Linked DNA regions of Alligator mississippiensis. Each later gene encodes a partner of the first gene's protein in a complex. Links are inferred from orthologs where the notes say so. Each region holds a gene or a part of one and is shown in the gene's direction. Other genes may lie near its edges.

Region 1 (6,826 bases):
ACAAAACGAAGGAGGGAGTCCTGGCTCTTGGTCAGGAGCCCCAGCAGCTTCAGCCACCTCTTGTAAGTGTCTCAAGCGCCAAGCACCGGGCGAAGGCGGCTGTGACCACGTCAGTCCCTGCCCAGCCCTTCTCCCCGCACCGTTCTGGTTAGGGATCGCGGCACCTGGAGCGCGCGCTCGCTCTGCCAGACGGCGCTGGGCGTGCTGGCGCCGGGCCCAGGAGACGAGCCCGTTCTGCGCCGGCAGGCTGAGGAGCAGGAGCGCGGGGCAGGCCGGCAGCAGGGCCGGGTGAGGGGCTGCTGCGGAGGCTCGCTGCCCGCCAAGGCCCGGTGGCCTTGCCTCTGGTGGCACACCGGCAGGCACTGGTCAGGCCTCGCCCCCGGGCAGGCGTTAGGGCAGCACTTCCACGGGGCGGCTGCGGGGCCGGGTGTCGGGGCGGTGCTCGCCGCGCCGTGGATGCTGGCGAGGCGGCTGCGGGGCCTGGCATTAGGGCGGTGGTTGCCGTGCGATGGATGCTGGTGAGGGGCGGTGATTGCTGTGTGGTGGACACAGGTGAGGGGTGGCTGTGGGGCCCGGCGTTAGGGCGGTGCTCGCCACACGGTGGATGTGGCTGAGGGGTGGTCACAGGGCCGGGTGTCGGGGCGGTGGTTGCCGCGTGGTGGACGGTGGCTGGAGGGCGCTGAGCAAAGGGCGGCTGAGAGGCCAGGTGCGGGGGCGGTGGTTGCGGTGCGCTGGACGTGGACGTGGACGTGGGCGCGGGGCGGCTGCGGGGCCTGGCGTCAGGGTGGCGTTTGCCACAGGGTGGATGCGGGCGCGGGGCGGTGGTCGCGGTGCGGACGTGGAGCGCGGGGCGGGGTGCGAGGGTGGTCGTGGTGTGGTGGCTGGGGGGCCGGGGCGCTCCCGGCCTCGCTCGGGCCCAGAGCCGCGGCGGGGCCGGGACCCCGCACCGGCACCCCCCGAGGCGGGCGGGCGCTCCCCCGCGGCCGGGCCGGGCCGGGCTCCGGGCGCGAGGGGGTTAAGGCGCCCGCCCCGCCCCTCCCCCCGCTCCCGCAGCCGGGCCGCGCCGCGCCGCGCCGCGGGCTGACCTTCACGGCCCCGCGCATGCGCCCCGCGGCTCCCGGCCCGGCTCGGCTCGGCTCGGTTCGGCGCGGCCCGGCAGCTGCGAGCGCCACGGGGCGGGCCCGGGCGGGCGGGCGGGGCGGGAGCGGGGCGCGGGGCCGCTGCCATTCGGCGCTTCGGTGGCTGGAGCCGACGTGGGGCGCCGAGAGGGGGGCTCCGCGGGCCCCGCGCAGCGCCCGGCCCGGCCCGGCCGTGCCCGCCAGGCCTGGGCGTGCCCCTGCGGTGTCCTGCGTGTGTCTGCACAGGACCCCGTGTGTCTGTGTGCGTGCAAAACCCTGCTTGTTCATGCAAGTGTGCACGGGATCCCACCTACTGTCGCACGTGCACGCGTGTGAGACGCCACGTGCCGACGCGTACCTGCGCTCCTGCCTGTTGGTGGGCGTGTGAGACCCGGCGCACACGTGCGCGCCTGGTGTGCGGCCCTGCACGCGTGCCCCACCCCGGCGCATGGGGGACGCAGGCCGTCCAGCCTGTTTGTGGCGAGCCCCCGCGCCGCGGCAGGGGCCGGCCGCGCCATCAGGGCCTGGAGCCGGCCGCGGCCCCGTGCCCTCCCGCTGCCCCGGGCGGCCTGGCCGGGCTGGGCTAGCGCTCCCTCCAGAACGGCGTCTCGGCACGTGCAGGCAGGGCCGGCCCGCTCTGCGGGCGCAGCAGCTTGCGCCCCCCCCCCGTGGAGGGATCCAGGGAGACGGCCCCAGCATCCTCTTGCCGCGGAGGCGGGAGCGTCCCAGCCGTGGGCGCGGTGCCCGGCCACGAGGAGCGGGACGAAGGCAGGGAGGGCGCATCCTGCGTCGGAGGATGCTTCTGTTGCAGAGACGTGGGCCTGGTGCTGCCCACCAAACAGGGACCCGGAGCCGGGGTTCAGCAGGACGGCGGCCTGCCACGCGCTGCCCAGCGCCCCTGTCCCCCCGGCTCCTGGAATCCCCCCAGGGAGCCCCACGCAAGTGCCGGGGTTGAGCTGCCTGGTCCCCATGCCTCGGGGTGGGAGCTGCGGCGCGGCGCGCTTGCAGCTCGTCCAGGGTCTCCTCCACGTGGTTCTGGCTGCAGCAGTTGGGTCAGCGACCGCGAGAGATCGGTCGCTTCCCGGCTCCTGGACAGGAATTGCGAGCAGGAGGGAAGGATAAACCCTCCTGTAACCTGGCAACGTGTCTCTTGCTGTGGCAGCAAACCCTGGCAGGCTGCGGGCGCATGCGGAGCTGTCAGCGAGCAGATTGCTGCCCCAGGCCACGGCTGCGGTGATGGAGGAGCCAGTGCAGCGGAGCGCAGAATGGCGGCCGCTCCAGCAGCCCGGCAGCACCCGCACCTTTCCCGCCGGCTTGGGCGCTGGGAGCAGGCGAAGGCTGTGAAACCCATCTTCCCTCCTCTTCTGCTGCCCCATCCCTCCCTTCTCCCCTTCCCTGGGCGTGGCGGGGCGCGCCGCATCCCTGGGGACAACGTGCTTTGTCGTGCACGTGAGGCTTTGTGTTGCACGCTGCTGCCGCTCACGCGGGGCAGCATGTACAGCGTTAATGATTTGTCTGTGTGCATCCATCCATCACGGGGGTCTGTGACAGGGCTGGGACAGTGGGCCGCGAGCATCTCGAGGGCAGGGCGCCTAGCCGGGGAGGCGATCGGGATGCTGCGGGCAGGCAGGCGGGGAAGCCAGCCACACATTGTGCCCTGCCGTCGCCATGCTGCGCTGCCTCCTTGGCGCACGCTCCCCCTCCGCCTGCCTCCCTCTCCTCACACTCTTTCCTTCCCCTCGCTTGCGCGCTGCCCTTCCTTTCCCCGGATTTCTGTCTCCTGCTGGTGCCGCGCTTGTCCGGAGGGGCTTGTTCTTAGCCTTCTGTGCTGGAAATCCTGCCAGTGAATGTTTCTGTGCTGCCTGCCACGTCCCTGGGGAGAAGGCCTGGGAATGCAGTGCTGGAGGAGACCAAGACAGCTATTGTTCCCCACGGCTGCCGGGTGCTTTCTTTAGCTGGCAGAGCCTCCCTGCGAGCTGCTCCATGTCCTTGCCGGAGCTCCCCCTGCACCCCAGGGCCCAGGATCCTGTGGCGCTGGAGAGGAGAGGCTGCAGTGCTGCTGCTGGAAGGCTCAGACGTGTTTTCAGTTTGCCTCCCGCTTATCTCTGCTGTTTGGACAGAGAGGTTTAAAAGGCTGGATTTTCTGTCCCTGCAGAGTAAACACACAGACCCGGGCAGCACAAACTATTTCTGGCTTATCAGTTGAGGAATGCAGCAGCTGAGGATTAGCGGGAGTGGGCCGTCAGGAAGGCCCTGAAGGGGCCCCCTCCCCACTCCGCTCTATTAGAAGTGTGAGAGCCCAGCAGGACTCAGAGGGGAGAGTTGGAGAAAAAGGCAGAAAAGGGAAAGAAAGAGGCAGAGGGAGAGGAGAGAGGCTGAGCCGACCCGATGGCCACGGATGAAGTTGCCGGCGGGGCTCGCAAAGCCACGAAAAGCAAACTTTTTGAGTTTCTGGTCCACGGGGTGGTGAGTCGGGAAAGTTAGAGAGCTGGCTGGTGCTGAACAGAGGGATGAGCGAGCCAGGCGCCAGGGCTGGGCTGGGAGCAGCCCTGCCGTGTGCCCTGGGTGCTGGCTGGCGGTCCACGCCGCGTGGCAGGAGCAGGGGATGGGCCCAGCTCCGTGGGCAGGCGTTGGGGTGAGGTGTGCAGCGGTCATTGCTTCTGACGCTGTGGGAATGGGGGGGCGGGTTTGCTTCCAGACCGGTTCCGGGGCAGGGGCCAGAGCGGATCCGACCCCTGCGGTCTCGCAGGGCGCCTGGTTCTGCAGTTCAGCTCCTGCTGCGTGCAGGGATGCTGGGAAAGCCCTGTGCCGCGGGGCGCGGGACTTGTCTGTGGACTTGGCTCTCGTGTGTCCCCTGGCTACCTAACAGGTGACTTCCAGGGGCTCCAGGAGACTAGCTGTGCGCTCGTTGCTGGGGAGCCTCAAGCTGCCATACTTTGGGCACCCTCAACATCCTTGTAGCCTTCCTGTGGCCATTGGAGGCCTCCTGACATTCAAGGGATTGCCATTCGTGAGGGCATGCCTTCCTCCGCCTTGTGTGTCCCTCCGGGGCTCCCAGCAGTGACGGAGAACAATTGCAGCTTGTGACATTGGGGTTTCTTAAGGAGACGTCAGTGTAACAGAAGGCGCAGTGCTGGGGAGTCTGAGGAGCGCGAAGGCTGAGTGGCTGTCAGAGCTTGCGTGCACTTTCTCTTGAGGACCTGGGATCTGCTTGCAGTGGCACCCTCTTCCAAGCCGTCACAGAGGGCTCTGCGTTAGAGTCCAGCAGCCCACGGTGCTGCCCCTTTGGCGGCCTGGCTCTTGCCCTCGGTTTGCTTGCCTGGAGCGTGACGTCTTTGACAAACCCCCGAGATGGGGCGATCCGGACCTGCCAGCCTAGGGCAGTGTGAGCAGCATGCCGTTTATATGAGAACAGCATCCTAGTGACCGCGGCACTGGGGACCCGCAGGATTAGTGACTGGCAAATGAGCACTGGTTGTGAGCAGTGCCCTTGGTCGTACAGCTCGAGTCTGGGGGCAGGCCAGCCTGTGGGGTAGCACGCCTGCCAACGGGCAGGCCTGTGCAGCAGACTGTGAACGGGGGGTGACCTAAGGGTAGAGCTGAATGCATGGGGCAGTCTGCTGGCTGGCACATGCGGACGGCCTGTGGGGCAGTGCAGCACGGGGTGGGCATGTGAGGCGGCCTGGGAGTCGGGAGCACGTGGGTGGCCTTTTAAAGGGTCAAGTGTTCTCTTGGCAATGACAGGCCAACGCACTCCCTTCAGTACCGGGGACAATGGCTGAAGCGGTGGTGAAGAGACCCCCTCTCACCTGTGGGTGGGTGAGGGGTGTCAGGGTCAGTCATAGATTCATAGATGCTGGGGTCGGAAGGGACCTCAACAGATCATGGAGTCCAACCCCCTGCCTAGGCAGGAAAGAGTGCTGGGGTCAGATGAGAGTCAGGCTGAAGTCAGGCTTTCTGATGCAGAACTGGGCCTCTCCAGCGCTGGAACTGCCTGAGGATGTTGACAGTAGTGGATGACCAAAAACTGGCTTCCGCTGTGTGCTTGGCCTTCCAAAGAGCCTTTGCTGTAGTTTGTCGCCATGCAGGCGGCATTGGAGACTGGCTGCCTCGTCCGCGAGGGGATTGCAGGCTCCAGCATCGCTCCGCGCATGTGGCTGCAGTCAGGCAGATGTCTGGGGCGGAGGTCGCTGGTGCCGGTGTGGCACAGCTCTCCTCAGAGCAGCCCACTGCTCCTTAGCAAGGCCCCGCAGGCCTGCCCCAGCAGCTTCTCCTCCCACTCCCTGGGCAGTGGAGCCCTGGCATTATGTTGTGTGTTTTCCTTTTACTGCTGCACTGACCCTGATCTACTCTTTTAGTTCCTTCACCTCCGTTCTTGCCTCCTTCCTTGTCCTTCTCTGGACGTGGGCACAGCCAAGTCTCCTCCACCAGAAGGAGAGTCTCTCCTGACCTCACCTGTCTCGCCAGCCTGCGCTCCTTCATCTCTGCTCTGGCCCCTGTGCTCCTCCATCTCCGCCTCCAAAACGACTGAAGGAGCCGTCACAGCTGCTGCCTGCGCTCTCATTTCTCTAGCCACTCGGCCTCAGGCTGCAATGGGTCATGCAGTTTCCGTGTAAAAGCGAAGGCAGCAGCAGAGTCTCTGATAGTGTCCATGAGGCTGTAGCTCTTGATATGGGGGCAGAAGTGCTTGAGGTGATAACTGATGAGTTTTCTGTCAGGGAGGGGCGCCAGTGTCCTCAGCAGTGTTGTTGCCAGTGGTGGAAAGGATTTTGGAGAGAAGACTCTTGCCACATTTCCTGGGGACTGAGACTGGACTTCCCGAATCCCTGTCGGCACACACTTTGTCACCAGCTCTTGTGTCATCGTTCTGGGCTCTGCCCCTCTCCTCCATCTCTGGTCCTGACCCTCTCTTTGCTCTACCCCAGTGATCCTCAGCTGGGCGGTACAAGACCCTATCAAGGGTCATGCACATTATGAGTCCTGTTAGGTGTCCAGACACTTACACATGATTCATAAGATAAACCCAGAGATTTCAAACAGGAATCCCCAGCATCACAAACTTTCAGACCTGCTGTGGTCCCTCTTGCTTTCTTGTCACAGAAGAATTGCTCTTATTTTTCCATGGTCGAGAAATGAGTGACAATGAAGAGGTGGCATTTTCTGCGGGGGCCTGGAGCCTCACAAGGTGTGTCTTGAGTCTGGAAAGGTTGAGAACCTCTGCATTATCCAGACTGGTCTCGTGATGGGCAAGATCTTGAAGCCTGTGCTGTAGCCTCATTCTCCTTAACTCCATGATGGCCTTTGCTGCTGACAACCACACCTTCCTGAAATCGCTTTCTTGGCACTCCTGTCCTTTTATGGTCCCTGCCTACCTCAAGCCTGCTTTAACAGGTCCTCCTCAGCCTGTCTTGGTGGACACCTCTGAAGGCCCTATCTCTGGCCTGTCCTTTTCCCCTCTCTGCACCCTGTTTGCAGTGCTCTGATCCAAAACCCTGCCGGTAACCATCTTTATGCTGATATACCAGTCTGCTGGTCAGCTTTCTCCCTTCCTTTAACCAGTAGCACATTCTCACTTGCCTTTTCTGGCATCTGTTCTGGGTGTCCAGCCATCAAGTAAGCTCAGCTTGAATAAAACAGAGGTATTAATCTCCTACAAACCATCACCTTTCTACCTGGTGCTGCCCCGGCCGGTCGCGTGGACCTCCTCT
Region 2 (7,797 bases), on another chromosome or scaffold:
CTCTCCCCACACCTGGCAGCCTCAGGTTCATAGGCAGAGAGAATAAAATATACCAAGGTGTGGATGAGTTGGGGTTTATTCCTGGCAACAATACGTCATTGATTCCCCACTTCTCTATATCATCACACTAGCTGGGATAATGCAGTGGGTACTAAATGCCTCTCAGCACACACAGAGCAAAATCCTAACCATGCTCCTTTGAGCAGCCTGCCCACAATAGCCACTTTAGAACAATAACCAGCAGCCAAGTCTTCACCAACTGGAAGGGGAGAGAGAAGCTTATTTTCATGTTACACAGATTCATCACTTGGGACTCTGACCCCATTGGGGTTGGCACCATGTGACAGTGTGGACAGAAAGTACTGGAGACTGAAGTAGTCCCTTAATTCTCAAAAGAGGCAAAGGAAAGGCAGCAGGTAGGCAAGTTCTCTCCACATCACCCCTTGACACAACCACAGCCTTTTGTAGGGGTGAGATGAGTGTTTCTTATCCCTGTCCCTTTGATGCCCAGCATCCCAATCACTATCAGCAAAGGGGCCTGTGGTGGTGGTGGCAGTGGTTTCCCTGCCATGGACAGCTTTCCCTCAACTGGGCTGACATGCTGGCACATCCCACTGCACAGACATTAGACAGGACATTCCCTTCAATCATGCCTGCCCTTACATGTTCTTCCTTTTTCTCCTCATCAGGCCCTCAGTACTGGATTTATGATGGTGAGAGACGTGTCTCTGGCCCTGCACCTATTACGGAGCTAGGCCTTTCTACTTCTCCCGTCCAGGCAGCCTTGATGTGGGGGACTGAAAAGAACAAGATTTACTTCTTCAAGGGAGGCAATTATTGGCGCTTCAACCCTAGCGCCCGCCAGGTGGACAACGTCTACCCCCGCACAATGGCTGACTGGCGTGGCATCCCTCAGGAGATTGATGCTGCTTTCCAGGATGAGACTGGTGAGTACAGAAAGGAGGAGACACATATCCCTGCATGTGTGTTCTCACCTAGTCCTGCCTCTTCAGTGGGAAGGGAATCAGCAGGATTTGGAGTGTAAGGATCATGTGTAAATTAGCATTCATAAAAGAAACACATGAATGCACACATATGAACACTATGTATACTGAGCGTGAAATCAGTGTCCAGTGTGTATGTGACTGATGCATTTGTAATAAACTTTGCAGACGACCAAGTAATTAAGCATCTGTAGCCTCCTGGATATTAGCATCCTTTGGGAGAAAATGCAAGGAGAACCATGTAGACATATTTTGTTGGTTAGAGAGACTCTAAATCAATACTGCCCTCCATTCTCTTAGTCACGTGAGTTTATATGACTTAGTTTATATAAGCTGTATATGCACTGATCAATGCTTGTATTAATCAGTAATCTAACGAGGTTACAGACTAACACAAGGAAAACTTCCACACTGTACACACTCCACAAAGAAAAAATGCATACCAGCATTATGAACAGCACTTCCTTTGCTTTGGAGGATGCTCAGAATAGCAGAGAAGTACTGTCATTATCATCTGGTTCCCCACACTGGGGTTCTTTGCTAAAAAATGGCAGAGCAATGCCACACCCTTTATCCAGAAATATGTTGGGAGCACTTGACAAGAGATGCATTAACCCTAACATCTTTTCCTTCCAAGGGAGTCCTTCATAATCAGCATTATGCCTGAACTCTCAGTAGTGGCTTGAATCTCAAGGGAAGGGCATCTCTCAGTGGTAACAGATTCCCATCACCACCATCCTACACCTACTTGCATATCGAGTAAAGGTCTAATTCTGAGCCCTTATCTCCCACTCAGGCTGTATTTCTCTCCTCACCTCCCTCCCCTATTGGTACCACACTTAAAAAAGGCAGCCTGATTTGCTAACCTAGTGAAGCAAAACAATGGGAAGAACATTTCTGGGTGACACGACTGACATGCACAGCTTTCTGCTCACCCTCCTTTGCTGTTTAGTGTTCTGGCCTTTGGTGTGGCTCTTCATCCTCTGAAAAAAACGAAGGGTCTTGTCAGTAGTATATATTCTGTCTCCTTTGACACTTCACCACTCTATTTCCACAGGTTTTGCCTATTTCCTGAGAGGCCGACATTACTGGAAGTTCGACCCAGTTCAGGTGAAAGTGCTAGAGGGTTACCCACGCCAGATCAGCCAGGACTTCTTCAGCTGTACACCTTCCTCCAACTCCTTCCGATGAAGAAAGGGGTGCTAATGGCCCCAGATTCTTCTCCTGCCTTCACACATCACCACCAGTCACCTCAAGAGATGTCCCACACTCTGACAAAGAAACCCCACTCCTGTCGTGCTCATCACTTAACACCATAGGTGGCACAAGTGGCTTGAGGCAGCTGTTAGTCTAAGGTGGAAACCTTAGATTCCAGGAGTTTGTACTCACAGCTTGGTATAGACATTAAAGATGACTGCAGCCTTGATGACTACCAGCTGCCTGCATTAAGGGTCGAGTGGCTGCTCTAACAGTTTTTTGGCACTGACATCCTAAAGACAAGAAGCCAACTTGGAATGGGGTCTGCTTCCATAATTATCTGGACACCATCCACTTAGAAAAGGGATTCCACTGGTATTTCTTTTGTTTACATTGTGTACAGCGGGGCTTCGCTTACTGATGTTTGCATTGGTGAGAACAGATTCCATCAATAATCCTTTCCTTAGCCTTGGCTGGGAGTTTTAACAGTCAGTTGACTATGTGTTGAGAAATTCAGATATGTGCCCATGTTGCCAGGGTTACTTCAACAGGACGGGGTGGGCTCCTGAATTTCAGCATCTTGTTCCACGTCTAGTGATACTTCTGTTTTTGTATTGCATTTTAAGTATGTATTTTCATTTTATATGGATTTGTGAAAATACTACATACTTTTTTAAGAAAAAAAAAAAGATGCTAGGTTTCAGTGCTGGACGCTGCCTTGTATCTCCATGTATTGTTACTAACTCTGGGAGTCTCAGTAGGACACTAGATCACCACACGACCTGCGGAGGGTCTGAAACTTCACCACCAATTTCAGAACTGCACTTGGCCAATGTCCAGGTCTCGGTTCAGCTCTTTGTTCTCTCCCTATCACTGCAAATCATTGTGCAAACGATGATTATTTTGTTCTTTTTTGTTCCTCCCCCTTTCTACCTCTCTCATCCATGCCATTCCTAGCCCTCGCCCCATCTCTCCAGTTCATTCCAGTTGCATCTGCTTCCCAATCTCATCATTTCTGATGCTTGGTACGGATCTAAAAAAGAAATCAACAAAACAAACTTTTGCTGGTTGTTACAGTCCCAGGTAGCATGACGACATCCCATTACTGCTCTTCCCAACTGTCCTGGGAAGGGTAGTCCAGAGGGGGTTGAGACCTACTCAGTTATCCTTTCCATGTATCAGCTTTCCTTCAGAGCTAGTCAGCAGAGACAAGTGGGATTTAAACCTACCCACAGCAAATAAGGGATGTGGCTACATGGCCTGTACCACCCCTAGCCTGCATGGTCTGCCTAAGCACTACAAATTTACCTCATTCATTTTTCAGGTCAAGGTTTTTGTCTTCTCAGTACCCATTTCTACAGCCGTTCTTCTTCTGTATGTAAATGTTTGTAAAATGTGTATAAACCCTTTTTATATATACTGTGTATATATTTATATGCTGTGCTGTATCAATGAACGTGATCTCTTTTCTATGCTCTGCCTGGTCTGAGTCTCTCAACATCAACAACAGCTTTAAAACCGGTCCCAACTCGAGACCTCGTCTTAGGCAGTGACGGAGCTGGAAACGCAAGTGGTATTTTTGTAACCAGGTCTCAACATGCTCAGTTGACCCAGTTTCATCAAATGCAGCAGTTGTGGCTACCAATTATCCTCACCTAATAATATATATCACTGCAGTAGTGTTTAGAGGCCTTTGATCAGGATGTAGGCAGGAAACTATGGCCTTGTGCTGAAGAAAAAAGTGAAGGAAAACTATAGCAAACACTGAGGACAGGCAAAGCCTGAGGAGCCCCTGCAGAGCTGCTAGTAATTGCTCGTTGCCAGCAGATCCAGGGAGATAATTATTCCCCTCTACTCAGCACGGGGAGGCCACATCTGGAGGACTGTGTCCAGTTTTGCAGCCCCCCAAAGGGATGTGGACAAATTGGAGAGTCCAGCAGAAGGCAGAGGCAATGGCTGAGGGGCTGGGGACACGACACACCAGGAGGCCGAGGGAACTGGGCTCATTTAGTCACGGAAGAGAAGACGGAGCAAGTTTGAGGGCAGCCTTCAACCACCTGCAGGGGGGCTGCCACGAGGACGGGGCCAGACTGTCCTCAGCGGTGGCAGGTGACAGGACAAGGAGCAAGGGTCTCTAGTCGCAGCAAGCTGAGGTTGGATATTAGGAAACACTCCTGCCGAGGAGGGGGGCGAAGCCCTGGGACAGGCTGCCCGGAGACGGGTGGGATCTCCAGCCTGGGAGGCTTTTAAGGACCTGCTCGGCAAAGCTTTGGCTGGGGCGATGCCGCTGGGGACGGCCCTGCTCCGGGCAGGGGCTGCACTCGATGCGGCCCGAGCTCCCTCCAGCCCCCGGTGTCTGCGGCACCAACCAAGCGACCCCTCGGCGCTGCTGCAGCCCCCGCTGCCGGCTGGCGCCAGACGAGCCAGGCAAACGCCGCGTGCAGCGGGACTCGGCCTGGGAAAGCCGGCGGGGACCGACGGCACCAGCCTGGGGGGACGAGTGCTGCCAAGCGCACAGCGCGCCCCGCCCCGCCCCGCCCCGCCCACCCGGCGGGCCCGAGGGGGCGGGGCGGCGCGTGCGCACTGAGAGCGCGGAGCAGGCCGCAGTCTACCCAGCCCAGCTCGAGCCGCTGCCGCGTCCCGTCCCGTCCCCGCCGCCACGATGATGATGATGGCGCTCAGCAAGACGTTTGGGCAGAAGCCCGTCAAGTTCCAGCTGGAGGAGGACGGCGAGTTCTACATGATCGGCTCCGAGGTACCGCCGCGCCGGGCCGGGCTGGGCCGCGCCGGGAAGCGCCCTGCGGTGGGGGGGAGACGGGCTGTGAGCGCCCCGGCACCGCCTGGACACCCCCGATTGGGGCAGGAGGTCATGATGGGCGCGCGCACACACACACTGAGTGGGGCAGGGGGTCACAATGGGCGCGCGCACACACACACACACACACACCCCAGTTTGGGGCAAGGGATCACGGTGGGGGCACACACATGCGTGCACACACACTGATTGGGGTAGGGAGTCACGATGATGGGTACACACACACACGCCCCCCGTTTGGGGCAGGGGATCACAATGGGTGCGCGCGTGCACACACACACACACCCCTCAATTGGGGCAGGGGGTCACGATGGGCACGCACACACACACACACACACACCCCCTGATTGGGGCAGGGGATCACGATGGGCGTGCGCATGCGCACACACACACACCCCCCTCGATTGGGGCAGGGGGTCACGATGGGCACAGACACACACACACCCTGATTGGGGCAGGGGGTCACGATGGGCGCACGCATGTGCACACACACACACACACCCCTCGATTGGGGCAGGGGGTCACGATGGGCGCACACACACACACACCCTGATTGGGGCAGGGGATCACGATGGGCGCGCGCGTGCACACACACACGCACACCCCTCAATTGGGGCAGGGGGTCACGATGGGCACACACACACTGATTGGGGCAGGGGGTCACGATGGGCACACACACACACACACACACACACACCCTGATTGGGGCAGGGGGTCACGATGGGTGCACACACGCACCCCCCGTTTGGGGCAGGGGTCATGTTGCTCACACACACTCTCTTGTACACAAACACTTTGGCCCCTGACCGACCAACCCCTGAGTGAGGATAGATGAGGGGGGAGACTCCCCATGACAGCGCCTGGTCTCCGGGCACTCCGAGCCATCAGCAGCCCCTGCTGGGCCTGGCAGACAGGCCGCCAGCCCCACGGGGCTCAGGGCCTGATGAACAAGGCTGGATGGGGGTGAAAGAGCTGCCCCTCCCCCCCCCACACCAACCACCACCATTTGGGGGGGGGGGAAGGGCCTCGTTTGGCTCGCGGTGCCCCCCAGACCGAACCTCCACGCTCTGGGCTCTAGGTGGGGAACTACCTGCGCATGTTCCGGGGCTCCCTGTACAAGCGGTACCCCTCGCTGTGGAGGCGGCTGGCCACTGTGGAAGAGAGGAAGAAAATCGTCGCATCTTCTCACGGTAAGGCCCCGAGCATCTCGTCCTAACACCTCATGCACAAAAGGAGTGTCTGGGAATGGGACCGGGCAAAAACCATCTAATCACCCCCCACCCCTGAGGGAGCTCTCGTTGAATGCCAGGAGACTAAGGCTTTTCTGACTTTTCTCAGGTGAATTTCATTTGCTGTAGCAAGCATCTAATCTAGTCTGCTTGCTCGCTGCTCCTGTGATAACAGGGCAGGAGGGTCATGGTGCTTGTTCGAAAAAAAAAAAAAAATATCCCTCTGATTTGTCTCCTCTCTGGGATCTCTCCATGTGAGATGGGAAGATCAGTGTGAATGGTCGCAGCTTCTAGAGCTGTTGTAATGCGAGAACTGCACCAATAGGAACAAAGCAAAGTCAAAATTTTGTTGTCTCAGGAGTTTGTTTCCTTGTTTCTCTCATGAAGGAGAACAAGCTACTTGAGTTTTTTGGGTTTTTTGGAAAAAAGAAACATAACCTTATAGAAACAACAGGCCTGGAGCATAACAGGCTTCTGTCTCCTTCCTCTGAGTTTCCTGCTGACTTGTCGCTTTCTGTTTTTTTTCCAATAGAGTCACAGCGGTCTCACAGTCCCAGAAGATGTAAGTCTTATCAGCCTATGTTATTCTTAGCTTTGCTGGACAACGAATCCCTGTTCTGACCCTTACTGCTGTACAAGCATATTCGCCTCTTCTGGGTCATTGGACTCGTTTGCCCTCTACTTTGGCTCTTGCTGCCTTGAAGAAGGATGTATTTTTCTTAGTGGTTGTACCGACTGTGTTTGTTCACAAACTTATGTGTGGGTTTTGTGGGCTGTCTCCAGATATGAGGGGGGCTGCCAACCAGTCTCCCAGTTCTCGTTTTTACCTGGTTTTTACAGGCACTTGTCCTGTCTGCAGTGGAGTCTAGCTTTGACTAATGCTTTTGATTAGTGTGTGCAACAAGGGCACACTGCTGACTCGTATTCAGCTTATTGTCCACTGTAACCCCCAGGTCCTTTTCTGCAGAGCTGCTGCCCAGGCAGTCAGCCCCCAGCCTATGCTGGTGCATGGGATTGTTCTGAACTCTGTTCTGCATTTAGCTTTCTGTCTCCTTTCTAGCCCGCCCTCCAGGCCTCATTAGTTTCTAGGATGTCTCTGTCCTGCAGTGGGAGCAATCAAGCACCTCATTAAAGGATGCTACATGAGCATCAGGTCTTAAGTCCATGATGGCACTTGTGGATTTATGGTACAGGAGTAAAGCTAGGTGTCAGCTCATTTTCCTGTCTGTAGTCATTTTATGTTCAAAAGAAGGAACAAAGAGAGTGGTCTTTAACTTGTTGCTGAGGTGTGGTCCCAGGTAAGCAGATTAAGAAGATTTTTTTTATATATCTACAGTGGGAACTCCAGGATAAAAGACATTTTCATCTGATGCACGTTAGATTTAATATTTAATGAGGACTTGGACATTTCCAGTCATTTTCTTGCAGGAATATTAAGGTTTGTTATTAAATAGCTCAAGATATTCCTTTTGTCCTTACAAAAAGTGGTGCTTGATTCTCTAATAATAGGCCTTAGCCTTCTGCTCTAGAAGCACTGGGTTCATAGCTGAGC
Region 3 (7,844 bases), on another chromosome or scaffold:
CCTGAGTCACTGTTTTCCAGGATATATTCTCCTGGAGTATAATTTTAACCTTTGTTCATTGTTCTTAAATGTATGACCTTGGCTGTGTTAAAATACTTAAGACTCAAATGGTCTAAGTTGGTTTGTGTAACTGACCAATCATTACTTATTATGCTTGTATCATCTCCAAATTTTCTATTTGCTTCTGAATGGGTGATAAAAGATACCAAATGTCATTTGGGTAAAGAAGAGATCCCTGCAGGACCCCACTTGAAATAGCCTTAACAGACAATGACTTCCCATTTACAATTATATTTTACAATCTTTCAGTTAAGTAGTTTTCGATCCATTTAAGTATAGTCTGATTTTTGTATACTACCAATTTTTTTAAAAGTCAGAATGTCATGCAGGACTAAGTCAAATGCCTTATGGAAGTCTAAGTAGATTATGTCAGCACAGTTACCTTTATCAACCGAACTTGTGATCTCATCAAAAACAATAATAGGTTTGACAAACCCTATTTTCCATATAACCAATGTTCACTGGCATTAATTATGCTGCCATCTTTTAATTCTGTATGGATTGCATAGTCTCAGCTTTTCTATGATTTTACCTGGAATCAGTGTCAGAATAAATGGCCTGTAATTTCCTGTGTCCAACCTATAACCCTTTTTAGAATATTTGTATTGTGTTAGTTTAGAATTAATAATGTTGTGGGGAAGGATAGCGCACACATTTGATAACAGAATTGAGGGCTCAGTAAATCCTAGAAAATACATTACTTCCTTGTAGAGGCAGGATCACAGTACAGGAGTTTATGAGGCCCTGTATTCCAGTATCATATGTGCTATATATGTATATATATGTGTGTGTATGTGTGTGTGTGTATATATATATATGGATTGTTGTGCTTGAGACGTATGGATTGTTGGGGGGGAGCTGTTATATAGTGCTAGGGTGTTTAGATCTATAAGAGAATGGTTTTTTGGTTATATAAAAACTGAATATTTATGTACCAAGAAACCATGTGAAAAACAGACCGAAAGAGTCACTATGACCAGAATAAAGACAGGAAGTTATGGATTACACACCTAGGGAACAAGCACAGCCCAGAAAATCAAATATTTAGTCCACCCACCAAAAACAAATCCTCAGTGAAATCACCCTGTCCCATTCACACACTACACCTTCCCTTTGCTTTCGATTAGAATGTGCCACTGGACAGCAGAAAGTAACTGAGACTCAGGACCATTTTTTTTTTTTTTTTGGTGTATCTTCAGCTCTCCCAACAAGTAGCAGTTTGGTCAGTGGAATTAGTGCCTCAGTTTACACACCTGTAAAATGGAGATTGCCAACCTAAGCATTTTGAAGATGTAAAGCTACATAAGGGCTTACTGTGATGTATTAATGCTGTTTTGCTCCTGTGAAAGGCGACTGTAATTTATATGCATTCAGACTACATAGTGGTCATGAAAGGCAAAGGAGGGGGAAAAATCAATAGGCAATAAACATGTTGGGCTGACTCTCCCTTCACATAAATTTCATACCAACAGCAGCTCTCTGGCACCAGCAACTAGCATTCTTAAAGACATCTGAGGAAATGCAAATCTTCCACCTCAAGAGTCAGCAGTTGATTTATGCTCATTTAATAAGGGTAGGATTTTCAGATTTTTCTATTTTTTTTTTAATCTGGAGCAAGCACTGATGTTCTCTTTGTAAAAAGAGGGGGGGGGGAACAATATTACGCGACAGCAGAATCAATAGTCTTCCTCACTGCAGTGAAAATTAATTTTTGAGGGGGAAAAAAAAAGAAGAGAATAAGGCATTCTGGGCATGTTTTTCTGTAAAGCTCAATTTATAACGTGCATGTTAATTGAAGCTTAATATCAGTGCTTCTCCAAGAATGAACTTGGTGAGGAAAGATTTGAATAACTCAATGCCAGCATGTCTGCAACCTCTTAAGCTTTTTCATGCTAGCTGAAATGATCAGGTTATTGGCTTCTGTCAGGCTCGGCTTTAAGGAAGACAACTTTTAAACTAATTGGCATAGAATAAATAATGTAATTTCATGTTTATATAGGCATTCTTTATATCTAGCGCCTGTCATTCAAGGAGGATTCCAGCAGGCGTTCAGATGGGAACACTACATCCACTGCAGAAACGTGGCCCCCTGTGGGATTGAAAGGAAAGCAGTTCCCGTTCTAATTATTCGGCTTTTCAGTGGTGCTGGGAACTTCTGAAAATGGATAGACAAATTGAACAGACACTTCCCAGGGAGGGTCTGGGAAAAATGCTTCCACTGGAAATGCTGGTGAGGGGTTTTTTTTAATGGAAATTACAGTACCATCTGGGTTCATTTTAGCTACAATACAAACTTGAGCTCATCTTAACCGTTCTTTGTATGTTTCTACAGGACAAATTGAAGGGGCCTGGCACAAGGGAGTTATAAGTCTGGCATATAACCACATTTCAAGCCCCTTGAGAGAGAGAGAGAGAAGGATGTAGAGAAAGGAAACAAAAAGAAGAAACCTCAGAAAACCAGAATCAGCAGCTGGTGAGAGACGTCCAGTTACATATGTCCCCTTCCCAAATAATTCTCCTTTACAATATTTTGTCTGATTTCTCCTTTTATACTGGCTTTTTTCCTTCTCTCAAGGCCTCCCTTTCTCGTCTGCCTAGTTAGATCACTGCAGTGTTTCTTCTTTAATTTTCTTTCTGTTCTCTCCTTTTTCCAGCTGGCTTACCCTAAACACAGCAATGGGATGTGAGTAGTAGGAAAAGATGCACATACTCATTCCAGGGACTGTATCTGATCAGGCCACTATCCAGAATTAGCCCATGAGCTGCAGCAAAGCTATGGTCTTAGCTGTGTCCTCCCCTGCTACAGTCTGCCCCCCCCATTTCCCAGTCCTTATGCCATGACTAGAAAGGGGTTCTATTTATCCCCTCCCCACCTGTTAACCATCCTTCTGAAGCATCCAAGAACTCCAGAACCAGATTACATTCCAGAAGCCTTTGCTGTGGAAAGAACTAAGTGTTTCCCTCCCATCCTTAAGCAAAAACCGAGCTGATTTCTAACCTAGGCACCAAATCTTCATGATTTAGAACTATTTTTATTAAGCCTTGAAGATGAGAGAAAATTAGGAAAGCAGATTAGAAAAAATATGAATTATTTCCAACTGAATCCCACCTCCCAAAGAACCCTGCTTTCTTTAGTTAGCTACAGGGATACTTTGTCCATTTGCTGCCTTCTGCATTGATCAGTTAGCAGATTCCAGTTGGTGTAGACTACAATACTATGGACTAGGCTGGGAATAAGAGACGTGTCAGTGACTGGTTTTTTTTCCTATTTGAAGGATAAATAAAGTAGAGCATGTGCGTCTAGAGCTTTGTGGGAGGAAAACTGTGGCTGTTTTTGGGTGGGATCCAAAAGGTTGCAGCTTGAAGTCAGGTGGTGACACTCCTGGGAAATACATTCACAAGCATGTGAGAACCTCAAGTAACTATTCCACATGTGCATACATCATCCTCCTGCCCTGAACCTTGTGGGCCTTGGCTGGAACCGGCAATGTGAGCTAATGCCTTTGGCAATCCCTGACCCTATCTGCTCTCACAAGTCAAACAGTGTCATGGTGAGTCAATGGAGTGCTTTTCCTGTTGAATCAATGCCCAAATGTGGTGCGAGGGGGTGTTGTCTTGCAGCAGAGATTATCTTTCAGCCAAGGCTGAAAACCCCCAACAAACTTAGAAGCTAGTCACCACACAGTGGCACTTCTTGTTAAGGGCTGGTTTATTAAGATGCCCTAACTTGCTCTGCCATTTCAATTAGGTGCAGAGCTGTGTCCCATCCTTCACTCTAATTTATGTAGCATTTTTCCACGCTGTTAAACAAGTGGTAGTTCTACCCAAAGGTGGAAGTTGTCCCTGGGTATCCCTTACCTGCCTCTCAGAAGAGCCAAGATGCTTAATTAGCACATGTTCATCAAGCCTTTTGGGAAGGCCAGGATTACCTAGGCACATCAGCACCATCCCCTTCGGGCTGCCAGGGCAATGTAGGGCAGCCCTGTCTCAAACAATGGGCTTTCTCCTGAGACTAGACCAAGCTGCAGCCTGGTGCCTCTCAGCCTGGGACCCCGCCTAGGTGAGAGGGTTGGCAGAGAAGCCGTTAGCCCTGGATGGCTGTGGGGTGTCAAGAGAATAAGCCCCCAGTCTCTGGCTCTCCAGCCCCCTCTTTCCTTTCCCCCTCATAGTACTCCCCTTTCACCCCTTCCTCTCCCTTCTTCCCACTCCGTTTTTCTCCCAGTCGCCCCTCCCCCACCCCTTTCTCCCTCAGCCACCAGCCCCTTCTCCAACACTCCCCTCCCCCTCCCCTTCGCCGCAGTGGCGCTAGCATTAAGCATGCGCGGCGACAGCAGTTTTTCCCTCCTCCCCCAGCGGAACAGGGGGGAAGGGCATTCGCTCCGCCCTAGAGGAGCGAGCCCGGCTCGAAGCCGGCCTGACACCGCCCCCCCCACCCCCATTGGCTGGAGCTGCATGGGGTCAGCGCGAAGCGGAAGGGAGCGAAGGGAGGTGGGAGAGAGTGGCAGCCCCCGCAGCGCACCCCGATTGGCCGCCGAGCCACGAGGGGGAGGGTCCGCTGCCCCCGATTGGTGGAGGTGCGGCGGGGGGCGAAAAAAAAGCTCGGTCAAAGGAGAGCGAAAATGTTGTCTTCGCCCTCCTGATTGGCTCGGTTCTCCCCCGCCCCCTGGGCGCACGCGACTGCTGCCGGCCGGCTGGCAAAGAGGCCCCTCCCATTAGCCGAGGCGGGGGCGCGCGCGCGCGGCGCTGGTCGAGGACGCGCTGCGGCGGGAGCGCGCGCAGAGGAGGGGGGAGGGGGAACGCGTGCGCGCGCGCCTCCCTCGCACACGGCGGCGGTGGCTCCTTTGTTCCCCCCCGGCACGAGCCCGCGCGCTGCCCCCGTTGCCCCGGCAGGGATGCACCGTGCGAGCGGCTCCTGCGGCGCCGGGCGCGGTAAGGCCCGTGGGCGGGGGGGCCGCGGCGGGGGGCGGGGGCCGCGGAGCCGGCCCCCCCCATGGAATGGGACCGGGCCAGGCACTGAGGGGGGCTACGGTGGCCCGGGCGGGTCAAGACACCTCGGCGCGCGCGACAGGAGCGGCCGGGACCATTGTTCGCCGGGCGGGGGGGGGGCATCGCCGCAGCGTCGCCTCACGCGGGCTCGGCCCCCGCCCCTCCTCCCTCGGGGCCCTATCCTCGCGGGCACGTGCCGCCTCGTCCCGGGAGGGGTCTCCTGCCCCCCATTGAGAGCTCAGACCCTGTCAGCATCTCTTCCCCTCCTTGTCACAGCCCGTGGGGGGGATCCCCGTGTCTGTGCAGCCCCCTTCCCCCCCTCCGTCCCCCCCCCGACTGCCCTGGTAGCATCAGTCCTTGTGCCCGCGTGGGGGGCTTCGTGGCTCCCCAGGCTCTATGGGGCTCAGGCCTCTTTTCCCTATTGGGGGTTCAGACTGTCCTGACCAGACAGAGGCATCTCTTTCCCCTTCACACTGTGTCGGGGTCTTCCTTCCCCCCGAGGGGATCCCCCCACACCCCTATCAGGGGGTTTTCTGGCCCCTCCCCAGGCATCCCAACTTCCTTGCAGGTGCCTGGCACTCTGCACCCCCCCCCCCCCAGCCCCTCCCTCCCTTCTGCACCATTGCTGCCCTGTCCCCTCCTGGGGGCTTTGCAACCTTTTCCCCCCTCCTTGCACTTACAGGGCTCAGTCTCCATCCTGCCACCACTGCATGATCCACTGTGGGATCCCCTCCCATGCACCTCATAGGGAGACTTTGCTTGCTTCTTCCTTGGCATTTCCATTTCCTTCTCCCCCCAGATCCCCTCTCTCTGCCCCCCCCAGTCCTTCTTCCCTAGCAGTATCTGCTCTTGGGGCCTTTGGTAACCCTCTCTGCCCTCGTAGGGCTCAGAGCCCTCCCTCCTTCATCAGCATCTCTGTCTTTCCCACCTCACACCCTATAGGGGCCCTCTCCCCCTCCATGCCTCACTGAATGATCTCCCTCCTCTTTCACCCCATGGGGGGCTCTGCTTGCCTCTCCCTTGGCATCTCCCATCTTCTTCCCTCCGCCCAGATCCCCTGGGTCTCTGCATACAGCACCCCAACACAGCTCCTCCCTGCTTCTGCCCCCCTCCCAGCAGCATCTGCCTCTGTCAATCTTGAAGACTTTGCTGTCTCCCTCCCCAGCCCTTGTGGGGCTCATTCCCCTTCCCCAGATCCCTCCCCACCATTGAGGGTTCAGACCACCCCACCTCGTCTAGCACCATCTCTCACCCTCTCATACCCTACAGGGTGGGGGAGTCTCTCCTCCCTCATACCCCATGGAGGGGCAGCTCAGCTCATCCCCTCCTTTTGGCATCCTCATCCCTTCCCCCCCCCCCAGCACACTGACCTGTGGCCCCCACTTATTAGTGGGATTCTTCTCCATCCTTCCCAGAATACCAGTGTGTTCCCCCTCAACAATATCTTCTTCATCCTTCCCCCAAGGGAGCTGCCCTTTTAAGATCCCCCCCCCCTTGAAGTACCTACCTTCTTCCTGCTCTTCAGCATCACCATCTGCCCCCCATCCCCTCCAAGGGAACTGCTCCTTTGTCAACATCTTTTCCCCATCCTAGGTGAGTGGGCTTTCCCATCAGCATCTCTACCCTCATCCCCTTCTGTCCTCCCCCAGCATAACAGAGGACCTTCCTGGGTTTAGCATCACCACCAGCCCTAGGGGGGTTCTGCCCCCATTCAGCCTTTCCCCATCTCATTTCTGGGAGACTACCCTGACAATGAGCACCTCCCCATAGTCATCACTTTCCCCCACCCAACCCTTGTGTTTGCACTGGTCCCTTACTCCTCCTGTTCCCTGGGGAATGGGTGACATGAGGGTCACCATTGAGGCCAGGCCCCTAACTCGCAGCCCTTTTTGCATTCAGTTTCTACCAGTAAAAATAATGCCAAAGCCTGCGGAAGAAACCCATGGGAGCCAAGTCAGTTCACCTCTGCTCTTGGAGGGACCAGGAACCCCTTCCTCCAAGCTGTTGCCCATTGCCCAGGCTTGCTATCTCGTGGGGGAGGGTGCTCCCCTACATGCACATATATGTGCACCCATGCACACACAGGCACACAAAGCCCATTCTCGTGTTGGGGGAGGGGGCTGAGAAGAACACCATTCACAGTAGCAGCTGCACAGACTAGGCACAGAAACACATGCGACCCCACACACAAAGCCCATTGTCACACAGTCATCCCCCCTTCCTCCCACCTCATCTGCATGAATTTGGGGCTGCAGGTTTACAGTGCATCTTCTCCCAGGGTTCAGTTAAAACAAAAAAACAAAAAACCCTCCCCCCCACTTTTAATGATATGCACAAAGCACATTTGAATGCAAATTAATTTCCTTCTTCAGCAGGACCAACTATTACAAATCAATTGACAATTGACAGGATGCTCCCTGTTCCCTGGTGCCCTGATATCAGGAGTGGATTTTAACTGTCTTCCCTTCATCTCCTGCTTCAGCGTGGGTTGCTCTTCCTTCTTGGTTAGGCTGCCACTAACAATGTAGTCTATTGTTTTAAAGCAGGGTCTTTGTTGTTGTTTGTGGCGCTTGTCTTTAACTGTCCTTGTAAATTAATTGAATAATATGCTTTTTTTTCAAGGCATATACCTCAGGACAGCTCATGGAAGGAGGTGCCTCTCAATTGAACATTTACAAAATGCCCTTGGCTTTCCAGATACTACAATTTTCTATGTAAAACTGTGGAAAATCTTGACCCAAATATTACAGTGTTAAAATCTTTGAGATCTCTGACTGCATGTAATAAATAATACCATG
Region 4 (7,044 bases), on another chromosome or scaffold:
ACTTGGGACCAGGATATGTATGAGAAAGAGAGTAGTGAAAACTTATTCAGAGTAGTCTAATTACATTTGCAATAACTCTCTACCCAGCTAGCAGAAGAAAAGAAAGCTCAAATGAAGCATGGGAGAGAACCACTTTTAGGTCAATCTAAGTAGGGATACACTAATTTGGGTCAATACCAATGACTAATTTTTAACGAGCCATATTGGCTGATACCAATCTGATTCCAATATGCAGCCCTGCAGCATGGAGAGAGGCGTCTGGCTGATAAGTCTGTGGTGGGGGAAGGGAAGGGGCGTGGGAGAGGCAGATCAAGGCCCCTGCAGTGAGGGAGGGTGTAGGGCTGAGGCTGGGGCAGGCACTGCCCAGCAAGGGCAGGGTGGTGCGGGGCACTCCCACCGCTGTGCACACCCCAGGAGGCCGTGTGCCCCCAGATCTGTGCACAGGGCGAGGGTGGGTTGCCACTGCAGGCTAGAGCAGTGCTGGGCTCTTCCCAGTGGAGGGGGAGCTGGGCTGTGCTTGGGGTGCATGGCAGCAGTGCTGGGAGCGGAGGCTACAGCGAATTTTAGGATGGCTGCAACCCTCCCTCCCAGTGCCACCACCACCTGCCCCATGCACAGATCCAGGGGCACACGCCCCACCCCCAAGCTCTCCTGGGGTCCATGCAGTGGCAGGAGCCACCCCCTCCCACCCCCGAACCCTCTGAACCAGCCACAGCTCCGTCCCATTACCTGCCCCATCCTGGCTTGGCAGTGCCTGCCCCTGCCCAGCCCTACTCCCATTCTCTCCCTCACCACGGAGGCCTCAATCTGCCCCACAACACACACCTTCCCTCCCACCTTGCCCCTTCCCCCACAACAGACTTACCAGCCAGACCTGGCTGCTCTCACATTGCCAGGCTGCGCTCCTGGCTGCCTGCAAGCTGCACTGCAGCTGCATGCATGCACACAGCATTTATCGGCCACATCAGACAAAAAAAGCTGATTACTGATGCTCTCAATTTTCCTCATATCAGTGCCGATCCAATATGGGACAGGTGTATCTTACATGTTTCAAACTGTATGTAGAAGAACATTCTTCATAAAACCTGGACTCTATAGCCATATGAGAACTCACAATCAAAACAAATATGGAAAAGTTTTTATCTGTCATCATCAGAAATGATGCATAACCCCCATTTTCTCTGAGTCTTCTTTATAGAATATTCTTACGGATATGCCACCTGTATATAGAACAAGGGCTGGCAAAATATGGCCCACAGGCCAAATCTGGCCCACCAAGCCATTCTATCCAGCCCGCGAAGCCCCTGAAAAATTTAGAAAATTAATTATCTGCCCCTGGCTGCCTGTCAAAGATGACCCAAGGGCCAGTGGCAAGACCTAGGGGGGCAGGACCCAGCAGCCACAGCAGCAAGACCCGCCTGGCCCCACCTCCAACTGGAAGCCTCTGCCTAGAAGAGGCTATTGGTCTGGTGACCATGGGGCTGTACCCTGCCTCCCTCCAGGAAATACAGCTAAGAAAAAGGGAGGCAGGGGAGGACTGCGGGTGATCACCCCAGTCCTCAAGGCTGGGCCAGCTCCTTCTGAGTCCTGCAGTCCTGGCGGTGCAAGCAGATACCACATGATGCCGGAGCAGCCAGCCAGCGGGTGAGGCAGGAAAATGGGGAAAGGATGGTGGCAGGCAAGGGGGTGAGTGGCAGCAAGCGGGTGGGCACCAGTGAGAGAGAGAGAGAGAGAGAGAGAGAGAGAGAGAGAGAGAGAGAGAGAGAGAGAGCGCATGCATGGAACAAAGTGTGTGCGCATGCACAATGAGGCAGGGAGAGAGCCCCACACACCCCCCACCATACACATGCACCCACACACCCCCTCATACTGCCATACATACTAACCCCAACACCCACACCCCCCCACACACCACAGCCATCCTCTCCCTCCACACATGCCACAGCCCTCCTCAGCCACCCACCCTCCCATACAGCCCCCCCACAATCCTTGTGACCACCCACACCCCATGTATCCACACACCCAGATGCTCCCTTACCCCACACAGCTATCCACCCCCTCAAAACCCTCATCCACACATCAACACCCTCTCCCACACCCCACATACCCACACCAGCCCCCCAAAAACCTATACCCACACATGTATACACCCACCCCCTTCACAATATACAAGAATAAGACTTCATTTTAAGCTATTGTGCAATCACCTCCATGTACACTACACAAATACATGTAAATCAGGAAAAAAATTTTTTTTTTTAAATCAAATTAATGAATGTTATAGATGTTTGATTTTTAGAATATAATTTGGTATTTTTCTGGTTCCAAGATGGCAAAAACCTTTGCTGAAAGGAGTATTTTCAAGGGCAAGAGGAAGGACTTCTGGTGGCAAAGGTCAGGGGTTAGAGGGGCAGGACTTCTGGTCCAAGACCAGGTGTCAGGGCACCTGTCAAGGGGTGTGGCTACCCATGAGGCCCTTGACAGCTTGCTAAAACTCAGTAAGCAGCCCTCCAACCAAAATAATTGCCAGCCCCCGATACAGAAGCATCTCACCATCTCCCATGAGGATCTTGCTGCTGACAATCTCCAGCAATATTGTAAACAACAGGGCCAACCCCTAATGCAGTTCAATGCTAACTTCAAGAGGATTTGTCACTCATATAAGATCATTCATATCTGCCATTCGTGTAAGGTCAAATCATCATTTTAAATTATCTGTATATATGCCATTTATTCTTGGTCACATCAAAGTTCCTCAGCCCAGGTGAGAGTATTCTTTTACCTAATTTATTATGTGCTTTTCCTAAGCCCATAAAGCCCAGCTTTCCTGATATTACTTTAACGGCTTCATTACACTTGCCAATCATAAAAATTGCATGTGTAGTCACTCACCCTTTCTTAAAGGCAAACTATTCTTGTCTGAGTGAAGGTTCAACCAATCGTAGCAGCAACATGTTCCGGAGTCTCATTCCATGAGCTTCGTTCCATCCCGTCTTCATTCCGTGAGCTTCCTTTCTCCGAAACTTCTGCAGTCGTGGATGTTTTCCTTCTTACCTACTGGGGCTAAGATACACTTGCACCAGTCTTAAGAAATCTCTGGTCTCACCGTACAGCTTTAAACTTTCTGTTCATCTATTTTGTGCTCTTTTGCCCAACACTTTCACCAGTGAAGCCTACTGTCACTTCATCAGGTAGCATTGCGGTGCTGTTTTTCTTTCCCTGGGGCACTCCAGCAGGTCTAAATGCCAATCCTACAGCACCGCCTTTCCCTGGGCACCTCTTTTTAGAATAATAATTGACAGAGAAAAGAAAGCAGGGCAGAGGGGAACCACAGCATGTTATGGGGGGACACCCTGAGCTAAAAAATAACCATGCAGCAGCTCCCGAGTGGACGGTTTTGCATTATAGCAACCTTCACAGGTGTGGTGATGGGGTATCACCTAGTCAAAGAGCTGCACACGCGCCAAGTGCCTCACTGACGACAACTGTGCAAGGGGCATTTGTGTTGGAAACATCACCGTGCATGGCAACACACGTGCGCCTCACGCTGTTTTGCAAGGAGAGCTGGGTGGCATGGCAAGGGTGGCTTGGACACCATCACATAAGCAAACATGGCAGCATCACCCTGGCACCTGTATGGCACTTCGAGAGCCTCTCCATGCAGATGAGGCCAAAAGGCTCAGGGGAAAGCAGTGGAAATAGCGCCAGCGCCGCTGAATCCCGACAGCACTGGCGCGGGTCAAAAAAGGCGCCAACTGCCTCACCCCGCCCCGGCTTAACACGTGATCAGCTAAGCTTCGCTCCGCCTGCCTGACGTCACTCATCACGCGTCTGTCAACTGTCCCCCGACGTGGCTTTACCTTCTTCCTACCTGCTGATTCGCCAAAAAGGAAAGAGAGAAAAATAACCCGCTTTCCCTGGCCCTGGGCGCGGTGGTGCTTTTTGAGGGAGACGCAACACGAATAAACTCGGAGAGGGTTGCTGGAAAAGTGGGGGAGGGGGGTGTTCTCTGTGGAAAGTGCCGAGGCGGAAGCGCAGGTCGCTTCCTCCCCTGCTCGGCGCTCGCCCAGCAGCGCGGCGTCGGGGACAAAGGCACCGCAGCCGCGGCCGGAGCTGGTGAGTGCTACCTGCCCTCCCCCTCCGCCCGCATCGGGGCCCGCAGCGCGGCGGCTCTGGCAATAGGTGCCCCTCCCCCCACGCGCACCCGGGAGGGAAATCCTCCACGCCCCCCCCCGCCTCAGCAGGTCTGCAGTGTCCGCAGATTCGCCACGGCCCGGCCGCGCCTGTCCCGCCCAGGAGCCGCCAGGCTCCCGCCGCATCCAGCCGCGCCTGGGGGAGACTGGGCGGAGAAGCGGGGTAGCCACAAAGGTGGGGGAAGGGCGACAACTTCGTGTGTGGAAAGTGCCGGGGCCAAAGCGCAGGCGGCTCCGCGCGGCCGGGACAAAGGGGCTGGGAGGGCGCACTGCGCATGCGCGGGACCCGCCCGGGTCTCTGCTTCAGCCGGGCCCAGCTGCAAAGACAGGTCGGAGGGGGGAGGGTCTCTGAGTAGGCCTGGGTCAAGCCGGGAGGAAGTAGCCCAAAATGGGGGGTGGGGGCTGCTCCGCCCCATCCTGGAATGGGCGGTGCCAGGTGATCCTACCCCTCCCCCCACCGCAGTTTGGCTGGAGGGAGTGACCCCCAGCATCTTCTGGGTTCATGTGAGGTGCAGCACCCAGCTGCTGCCCTGGGTTCCCTGCCCTCACACCCCACCTGAGCACGTGGCTGGGAGCTCCCTGCCTGTCCCCTGTCCCACTCTCCAGGGAGCTGGTGTTCCTGGTGGGAATAAAAACCCCTAGTTCAGAAATAACACACCTGGGTGGCCACCTTCTGACTGAGCAACTACAAACGATAACAATAAATCCGAGTACCTGTGCACATCCATTCGATATGCAGGTTCTTTGGCCTTATCGCCCCCAAATCTGACAAGTTTCAGGATCTTCCTGCTGCTGCAGGACAGGACCTTCCTTTACAATAGGATGGGGGTGGCATCAGGGCAGCTATTCCTGTCTAGCCATGGCCTGTCTGCCCCACATCTACTGCTGGGGCTGCCAGCTGTGGTTTCCATGCCTGGGCAGGGCATGCTTGGCCAGGCAGATGGGATGGGACCACAGGTAGGCAGGAAGTGGCAGCCAGGAGCGGCCATGAGCCATGATCTACTCTCCACACATCCCTCTGCCCTGGGCCTTGGCCCTGTGCTGTCACCACCCCATGATCCCCTTCCTACTCCCAGATGCTGCCCGCCACCAGCCCATGACCCCATCCCACCCACCCAGCCAAACCCACCCTCCCGGAAGGGGTCCCAGGTTAGTCTCCGTGGAGGCCCCACCCACTCTGTCCAGTACCTTTGGTGGTGGGTGTGGGGCAGACGGACCAGGGTGCCTGGGCAGCAGAACCAGGTCCAGCAGCAATGGTGACACTAGTGGCAGCAGCCAGAAGGAGCCACCGATGTGGGGTCTGCTAGGAAGTGGAGTCCGGCCACTGCCCCTTCCCCCCCCCCCCTCCCCCCCCCCCCGCCACACCTGGAGGTGGTAAGACCAGCTGCATGTGCTATGGCCTGAGCTGACTTGTGCCTGGTCTGGGTGGTGCCAAGGGACCTGCTGCAGGCCGCATAGAATCCCTTAGCTAGCGGATCTGGCCGACAGGTTGTATTTTGCCCACCCCTGCAGTAGGGATTTTTTTCTGTTTTTGTATGAGAATAGGAATCAGGAATTTCAGCAGTAATAGTTGGTGTTCATGGTTGTATGGGATGGTTTGGATAGGGGTGATCCTGTCTCAGGCAGGGGTTTGGACTAGAATCACTAGATGATCTCTGGAGGCCCCTTCCAGCCCTACTTCTCTGTTACTCTGACAGGGCTAGGCCCAGATTTTGTTGTCCTAAGTCTTCAAGGGGATATTTCCCATGCTGAAAGTTAGTACGATATTGCTGTTAGTTTATAGAGTATTTACATTCTTTGAGCTCATGTTTATTAGTGGTTGCATATGCCAATCTCCCCATGGTTATTTATGGTCTTGTATCTGACACTGTTGGCACTTGCTTTTTCCGTTATACCAAGATTGAAAGACATCATACACACCTGCTTGCTCCTTCACTACCATCAGAACTTTGAAGCCAGCAGTGAAGCCAGATCAGTGAAATCCAACACACAGTATTCTTAATTTTTTGAAACAGTAATACACAAAGACATTTTTTTTTAATTTGAATGAGCTTCAGTTAAAGCATCCTGCTGCCATTTTTAAATGTGTGGAGGCTTAATACATGTGACACTGCAGCGTTTTAACTAAAACAACTCTCTGGGAACCAGTCTCATTAAAATGCCCATCCATGAACACGTGTATAAGCAGCCATGATTTTTAATTGCAGTATATCAGGGTGTCACATTCATCTTGATGTGGGGCTCTCAGGCTAGAACTAGTTGCAGGGGCAGCAGGGCAAGCACCATCAGGGAGCCAGGGGGCTTAATGCAGCTATCACTTGCCCCCTGCTGCTGAAATAAATTTCCACTGGGACTCTATATTCCAGATTTTGATAGTGTCCTTTACTCCCTTTTTCCTAGCCTGTCCAGGAGCCCTGTGGGCCAGATGAGACAGCTCTGCAGGCCATATGTTTGACATGCCATCAGTAGATACCTTATGATGGTATAAGTTTAAAAAATAAAATGAAAATAAAGACTTATGTTTAGTGTTATGGTGTCCTTTTTTTGTCTTTCAGCATAACAATTATAATGCTAGCTGACTGAAAATTTGTCCAGTCCATCAAAATGTCAAGTAAGTTTCTGGATTTTTTATTTATTTATTTAAGGAGAGCTTGATCTAGTAGCCCTTCCTTACACAATTAATTCTGTTGTTGTCACATAATAAATGGCTATGGGATCAGGCTCTTTTTAAAAGGAATAGAAGTCTGTCGCATCATACGCGCATTTAACTTATGCGAATTCAACTATATGTGGGGTGGGAGGGGGGGTGGAGCTTGAGTTTGCACACAGCACTGCTGCTTACCTGGTAGCC

Evidence for each region.
Region 2: SMARCD3 (region 1) and SMARCB1 share a complex: the UniProt entries of both Homo sapiens proteins name them as parts of the BAF complex. The link is inferred for Alligator mississippiensis from reciprocal best matches to the Homo sapiens genes SMARCD3 and SMARCB1.
Region 3: SMARCD3 (region 1) and SMARCA4 share a complex: the UniProt entries of both Homo sapiens proteins name them as parts of the BAF complex. The link is inferred for Alligator mississippiensis from reciprocal best matches to the Homo sapiens genes SMARCD3 and SMARCA4.
Region 4: SMARCD3 (region 1) and SMARCE1 share a complex: the UniProt entries of both Homo sapiens proteins name them as parts of the BAF complex. The link is inferred for Alligator mississippiensis from reciprocal best matches to the Homo sapiens genes SMARCD3 and SMARCE1.

What each region holds. Positions count from the first base shown.
Region 1 is NC_081828.1:220,570,351-220,577,176, forward strand, and holds the start of SMARCD3 (SWI/SNF-related matrix-associated actin-dependent regulator of chromatin subfamily D member 3), read left to right. Parts: upstream 1-3,825; 5' UTR 3,826-6,826. UniProt on the Homo sapiens protein: Involved in transcriptional activation and repression of select genes by chromatin remodeling (alteration of DNA-nucleosome topology).
Region 2 is NC_081833.1:18,298,553-18,306,349, forward strand, and holds the start of SMARCB1 (SWI/SNF-related matrix-associated actin-dependent regulator of chromatin subfamily B member 1), read left to right. Parts: upstream 1-4,782; 5' UTR 4,783-4,863; coding exon 4,864-4,956; intron 4,957-6,094; coding exon 6,095-6,206; intron 6,207-6,777; coding exon 6,778-6,807; intron 6,808-7,797. Other genes in the region: MMP11 (stromelysin-3), read left to right, coding at 690-947, 2,062-2,195.
Region 3 is NC_081831.1:23,547,662-23,555,505, reverse strand, and holds the start of SMARCA4 (transcription activator BRG1), read left to right. Parts: upstream 1-4,825; 5' UTR 4,826-4,989; intron 4,990-7,844. UniProt on the Homo sapiens protein: ATPase involved in transcriptional activation and repression of select genes by chromatin remodeling (alteration of DNA-nucleosome topology).
Region 4 is NC_081827.1:164,023,452-164,030,495, forward strand, and holds the start of SMARCE1 (SWI/SNF-related matrix-associated actin-dependent regulator of chromatin subfamily E member 1), read left to right. Parts: upstream 1-4,025; 5' UTR 4,026-4,116; intron 4,117-4,498; exon of another isoform or gene 4,499-4,522; intron 4,523-6,748; 5' UTR 6,749-6,797; coding exon 6,798-6,804; intron 6,805-7,044. UniProt on the Homo sapiens protein: Involved in transcriptional activation and repression of select genes by chromatin remodeling (alteration of DNA-nucleosome topology).